Linked DNA regions of Tribolium castaneum. The protein of the gene in region 2 binds, or shares a complex with, the protein of the main gene of each other region. Links are inferred from orthologs where the notes say so. Each region holds a gene or a part of one and is shown on either strand. Other genes may lie near its edges.

Region 1 (2,532 bases), on a different chromosome or scaffold from region 2:
TTCTGAACTTACCTTTAAATTTTAATTTTAAATTTTTTTTTAGTTTTTTTTTTTGAAAACACGAATGTTCGGTAACTCAAAATATACTTTTTCAAATTATTGTGTATGTTATATCAAGTAGGTTGAGGAAGTCTAAATATTTAATTTAATTTAATGACCGGAACAACATTATTAATAACAAAAATCTTTTTTTCTATATTAATTACTTTGTTAATTTTAATGAATTCTTTTTCTACCTCAGAAGCTTGAGTACACGTATTTATTGGAAAGAATAATTATAGAACAGATTAAGATTCATAATTAATATAAAAAAGTATATTTTGCTGACAACTGCTAATTTGTAGAAAAGAATTGTAGAAAAATTTTGAAAAGAATTACATAGATAAAAAAAATTAAATATTTATTAGCAAACGCTGGAAACCAGACAGAAATGCCTAAGTTTGTTGTAGATTAAGTTTACAAAAATAATAATAATCTGAGTGATCAATGATTTTAAATCTAAGTTGGCCACAATAACTATCAAATCTAAACGTTAATTTTTGTACTCGATTTTTAAATTTCACCTACAATTTATAGTACCAATAATAAAAATAAGTGTTGCCAACTTAATTTCAAAATGTATTTTGCTCTGTTTTCCAGAACGGACAGATGATGATGATAGTGATGACGATGATAGCGAGATGGAGGATGCTTCTGACGAAGAATTGTCAATGGACGAAGATGAAGATTTCGATGAAGATGACCTTGAAATGAACGATGATGACAAAAGTATATTTTTTGTAATAATAAAACACAAAATTATCCTTTGCTTGCAGTGCTTCTGGGTGACTTAGACGACGATGAAGACGAGGAAGTTGTTTTTGACGATGAAGAACCGAAGTCAGCAAAATCAAAGAAGAAAAAATCCAAAGACACAAACTCAATATTTGCATCAGCTGAAGAATTTGCCTCATTGCTTGACGATGAAGGTAGTTCGAAAATAGCCCCAGGAAGTTCAAATGCGTTATCAAATAAGGATAATGCGAGCACTAAACAACTTGCCTGGGAACAGAGTAGAAATAGGTGGTTGAAGGGATTTGATGAAGTAGTTGGCAAAAAGAAAAATAGTAAAGGTAGCAATTTTGGCAAGAAAAGGAAAGGTCCAAATAAATTTAATAATAAGGCAAAGAAGAGGAAGAATTAATAATCGACAAGGAAGCAGTCGATTGCATTTTAATTAATATAATTCTTTACGAATCCACCAGTTTTGTGTTTTATTTAATTCGTGTTGGTTGTATTTCGCGAATATACAACTACACATAACCCATAACCTAACTTTTCGTGACGTTTAACAGTACGTTCTGTTTATTATCTTCGTGTTTACAATTTCGTACCAAATTCACAATAATTATCGTGTTTTGTGAAAATGGTGTGCGAAAAATGCCAAAAGAAGTTGGGCAAAGTGATAACACCAGATCCTTGGAAAAGTGGGGCTAGAAATACAACTGAGTCAGGGGGTAGGAAAGTTAACGAAAACAAGGCTTTAACAGCTAGCAAAAACAGATTTAATCCATACACGTCCAGTTTTGAGACTTGCAGGTTTGTTAATGCAAGTAATCCTTAAAATTGATTTACTCTTCTCATGTTTTTATTGTAGAATATGTAGGCAAAAGGTGCACCAGGTTGGGTCACATTATTGCCAGTCCTGTGCTTATAAAAAAGGAATTTGTGCGATGTGTGGTAAGAAATTGTTGAGTACGAAGAATTACAAACAATCGTCAACTTGAACTACATTTTGTGTGTTACTTTTAAACAAAATTAAGCCTATTCTAAGTTTTAGAGCAATTTGCATTGTTTTGTAGGTACTGTTAGGTTTTCTGTCTGTATACAGTGAGTGTACGACAATTTAATTATCTTGAATGATAAGGTGTGTAATTATATTTAATAACTTATGACAAAAGTTTTTTATTTCATTTTTATGATAACATTTTTAACTTATTAATTCATTTCTACCTATTCTATCCCTATTTCTTTTTTGTTATTAAGGTTGACTATACATTATTAAAACGCAACTATCAAATATTCTAGAATTATTATTTGGACTTTTTTATAAACTAAAAAACTGTACCTGTAATATTATTTCCACAAAGTTAAAATACGATTTTGTCTTATTGCACTAAAAAAATAATTGAAAAAATTGATGTCTGTCGTATTATTAAATACTTCTAAAAGTGGCTACACTGTATATAACCTTTTAGAAATGAATTTCAGCGATTGGATTTTAAAAATTCACTTCCCTGTATATAAAAAAAACGTGACGAAGTCGTAACAAAATTCAATGAATCAGACAAACCTCTTTGTTTTCCACCTTGCAGTAATTACTTATCTCAGTGATTATATTTTTTGTTGGTGACGTTTTATCCATACACTTACACAATACTGCCGTTTAATTTTATTCAGTTTGGTTCTTGCTTTTGACGCAAACGGACGTAAAATTAAAATTTTCCAGTTCAAAATTTCAAATTTGTTGTGGGTAGTGATCGCGGTTAGTGT
Region 2 (4,258 bases):
ACACCACTTTTATACACTTTTAGGGTTTTTTGAGCTTCCGCTTTACGTCTCTTCGCCTCTTCTTCCTCCTTCTGTCTTTTCAATTCCTCTTCGCGTTCTTTCGCCAACTAAAAATTGACCAAAAATAACACATTACAACAGAATAAGACAATCACTTGTTCGTCCGCCTCTTCAAATGGATTCACAAAAACTTGCGCCCTTATAAGCACAATATCCTCAATGGGCTTATCCTTATTGTCCACTTCAATTTTTTCCATTTCGTTTAAAGTCTCCATGCCACCAACTAAACGACCAAAAATCGTGTGCTTATTATTCAAGTGCTTGCACGACCTGTATGTTATGAAACTAAAAAAAAAAACAATTAAATTTTTGATTATTGCTCAGTGGCTGAGTTTGAAATTAAGTTGGCAAAACTGGACGTTGGCATTTCCCGTTATATCATGAAAAATACTTCAGTTTGTGTATTCATTAAATCATTAAAAGTTTGGAAAAAGTATGGGGAAAATTTACTCATTTTTTTTGTAAAAAATAAAGTTATGGCTACGGATATAAACAAGTTAGGATATGAAACGACATACAAATAAAACGTTCCTGTATTCGATAGTTCCGTTAATGTCGCCAGAGAGCGCAGATGTTCCATTACCGTCTAAATTTTCAGTGCAATGAATTTGAAAAAATGGTTGTGTTTGCATAACGGTTAACACATGACAAACAAAAAAATACAGGCAGATAGAGCATTAAATTCGCAATAGTAGGACATAAACGTAATGCAAAAATTTTATCTTAAACTATATTAAAATAAAAACTTTTACCAACTTGCACTCTGACTCATATTTTTGACAACTCTGCAAATACGGTTACAGATGCAAGAAAAATGTTAGAAAGATAATTGTAGACAATTAAATTTCCTACAAAAAAGTCCGCGGGACTATATCCCTATCTTCAACCATTTAGGCCCCAAAATCGCCCAAAGACGCTCAAGCGACGAATTTGCTTCATTTTGCCAGTGGTCAAGTATTGAAAAGTTAGTTTATAACCAAACCGTTTAAAATAGAAATATGGTGTCGTGGACTTTTTTGTAAAAAATTTAATTCTCTACAATTTTGTTCCTTACACTTTTTTTGTATCTTCAACCGTATTTGCAGCGTCTTGAAAAATACGAGACAAAGCGCAGATTTAAAAAAAAATCACAAACATTTTAGTCGTCAGTTTTTCTCAGACTTAAGGGTGCAAAGCTCAACATTGGTTGAATTTAAATTAATTTAAAACGATTTGGCGCCGAGACAGTATAACGCTCAAAGCGCCCTCATTTTTAGTCCACCGTACTATTTTTTAGGTTCAGAAAATCCTGCGATTTCATCTCCTAACTTATAGTCCTCCCTAGTTATGACATAAATGAGTTTTTTTGTCACTTTGACATTTCAAACGACAATTGACTATTAAAGTTAACATTTGACTGTTGCCATTGTTGCCAACTTAACTTCAAAGTCAAAGGCTGCGTAAAACATACAACTGTGACCCATTTGTGTTTTTCCCACTGTTGGCCATAGACAAGACCCCTCGCCCCACATGTTGCAAATTGGGCCTGAATTCATCAACGAATTTCTTCCCCCAAATGGATTCGCCCCCAGTCCCTGTCCCCGTCGGGTCGCCCCCTTGAACCTACATTTCGTTAGTTTTAGCCCCCATGATGGGTCCCTACCATAAAATTCCGAATAGATCTGTGAAATTTCGTCCCGTTGTAATAGCCACTCGCACAATGCCTGATAAAATTCTCCGAAGCACGTGGCACTTCGTCGCAGTAAATCTCCAAGTTGAGGGGCCCCAAGTTCGTGATTAACCTCACATAGCCTTTTTTCTTGACTCTGTCGTATCGCACCTCATCTTCGTGCTTCACTGCGGCTTCGTGCACCAATCGGGGGACCATCGCTGTTGAGGTGAAACTCGCAGCCACAGCCCCCGTTGAATAATGGGCAGCGTTGAACTTGTCCGCCTTTTCCTTAACTTCGACTTTGTTTATTTCAATTGTTGGCTCTTTGTAGTCCCGTTTTAGCTCCTCAAGGGTGTATTTTGTTTCAGGGTTCACGTTTTTCAAGTGGCCTTGAGGGTCGTTCTTCTCCTTGATTTCCTCCTCGGTTTCGATTCGTAAATTGTTTTTGACGTGGTGGAAGTTGGAAATGTTGAACTTATTTAAGTCTAGTGGGTCCTGTAACATGATGATATCCTTGCGTTCGAAGGGCGTATCACTGATTAAGTCCTTCCAGTTTTTGTTCTTAATATTAAGCTGTTCCACTGCTTCCATCAAGTACACGTTTCCAGTGGTGGCAATCGCCACAATGTGGGAGCTTTTGGTGAATTGTTTGTAAAGGACGGGGCACTCAAACTCGCCTTCTTCATTTTTGTGGAAATTCAACTGCACCAACGACTTGAAATCCAGAGGCTTTCCCGTGACTGGGTTTATCTTGAACTTCTTCAAAAAGGGGAGCAAAGGCTCCAAATCAAAAATATTGCCGTCCAAGTCACAGTAGGGTATTTCCCACGGTTGCAACGACAGGCAGCAGTGGTCAAACGGGAGCCGCTTAAAATAGTCCTCCTCCGCGGTCGTATAACCCGATTTTTTGCCCCCGTAAAGAGTGGTCCACTCTGTGTACGTCAAGTACCTTAAACAAAATTGCGTTAATTACGCACTTGAAACTGATTTTGGACAGGTCTACATTTTGTCTTTCTGGTGCTGGCGCTTCCCCATTTTGCTGTAACTTGTAAAGAGGTAAAATTAAAAAATATAAATCACACGACTTTGAGGTTAGCTCGCTGTCACAACAACAGGTAGACAACACGCGCACTCTTCATGCCCCTAGATGGGTGCAAAGGATTTTGAATTTTTTAAAAAATAATCCGCAATTTTTTGGTAATTTTCGGCGAGGTGTTGGCGACCGACGCCCTGGGGGTGTGGCACAGGGCGGTTTTGTTGCAAATAATCGAAATTCAGGTTTTTGGGCTGTGCAGTTTTTGCATATTTCCGGTAGTATGGTGGCAGGCCTGAGTGCTCAGCGAGTACGCCATGAGCCGATATTAGCAAAAAGGGAGTGAATTGTTTTCAGTTTTTAGTGCAAAAATTAATACAAGTAAGTGTAATTGCTGCTGAAATTTCCCGTTCAATGCCAGTTTCACGTTCCTGAAACTCGATTAGGGCCGTTTATGCGCGTATTAGCCGAGTAGGCGCTGAAAAAAATCGTCAACTTGTGCCGTAAATATCGCCCAATAAAAGCGATATCGTATCGAAATTACAGTAATTTCGGGTTCGGCGTTGTGTTTTAATCGATAATTATTGAATTCCGTCCCGTTTTTCCCAATTTAATGGAAATTTACGGCTTGTGTAATGCTTGAAATCAAAATGGCCGACTTAGCTGACAGGAATCAATTTTGGTTTTGAGAAGGGTCGCAATAATCGGTTACCTGTCCCGGCGATCGCAATCAGACATTGAACCCCATTGTTGCTTGAGGTGACTCTCTCGCACGGTCGCCCGTCAGCCCCCGGCGAGCGCCGGGAGGAACAAAGAGGTGATTTTTTGTTTTGTTTAGCTCGATGTCTTCAGCTGGGTCTAGCGGATCAGGCCGTGGTCGAGGCGGTCAAGCAGCAGTCGGTGATCAAAAGGAAACAAAAGAATCAAAGCCTAACCAGAAAATGTCAAAGGCCTTGGGCACATCAGCGAAAAGAATCCAAAAAGAACTAGCAGAAATCACGTTAGACCCGCCGCCGAACTGCAGTGCGGGCCCCAAAGGGGAGAACTTCTACGAGTGGGTGTCCACGATCCTGGGCCCCCCGGGGTCCGTCTACGAGGGCGGCGTCTTCTTCCTGGACATCCACTTCTCGCCAGAGTACCCCTTCAAGCCACCTAAAGTCACGTTCAGGACGAGGATCTACCACTGCAATATCAACAGTCAGGGCGTCATCTGTTTGGATATTTTGAAAGACAACTGGTCGCCCGCCCTCACCATCTCCAAGGTCCTCTTATCTATCTGCTCCCTACTCACCGACTGCAACCCAGGTGGGTCAATTTCTCTTAATCGTAATCGCAACAAGTAAAACAATGAATCGCATTTATTTTTAAAATTCTTGTTGGATTAAAAACGTGCCAAATAGTTCGTAGACCCGCAGCGAGCAGACAAATATTAGACCGGCGTAGTCACCGGCATGTTTTGAATATTTTTAAAGGCACGCGATGAATGTAAATTATGCTAATTTCCTGTGAAAGAT

The links. Proteins that work in one complex are often made in the same cells at the same time.
Region 1: RING-type E3 ubiquitin-protein ligase PPIL2 (region 2) and cysteine-rich PDZ-binding protein share a complex: the UniProt entries of both Homo sapiens proteins name them as parts of the minor spliceosome. The link is inferred for Tribolium castaneum from reciprocal best matches to the Homo sapiens genes PPIL2 and CRIPT.

Annotation. Positions count from the first base shown.
Region 1 is NC_087394.1:8,405,608-8,408,139, forward strand, and holds cysteine-rich PDZ-binding protein, read left to right. Parts: upstream 1-1,288; 5' UTR 1,289-1,405; coding exon 1,406-1,578; intron 1,579-1,636; coding exon 1,637-1,766; 3' UTR 1,767-1,942; downstream 1,943-2,532. Other genes in the region: Noc1 (CCAAT/enhancer-binding protein zeta), read left to right, coding at 640-768, 816-1,183. UniProt on the Homo sapiens protein: As a component of the minor spliceosome, involved in the splicing of U12-type introns in pre-mRNAs. Involved in the cytoskeletal anchoring of DLG4 in excitatory synapses.
Region 2 is NC_087395.1:15,994,783-15,999,040, reverse strand, and holds the start of RING-type E3 ubiquitin-protein ligase PPIL2, read right to left. Parts: upstream 2,862-4,258; 5' UTR 2,747-2,861; coding exon 2,715-2,746; intron 2,661-2,714; coding exon 1,703-2,660; intron 1,663-1,702; coding exon 1,511-1,662; intron 346-1,510; coding exon 156-345; intron 108-155; coding exon 1-107. Other genes in the region: Ubc2 (ubiquitin-conjugating enzyme E2-24 kDa), read left to right, coding at 3,587-4,049. UniProt on the Homo sapiens protein: Has a ubiquitin-protein ligase activity acting as an E3 ubiquitin protein ligase or as an ubiquitin-ubiquitin ligase promoting elongation of ubiquitin chains on substrates.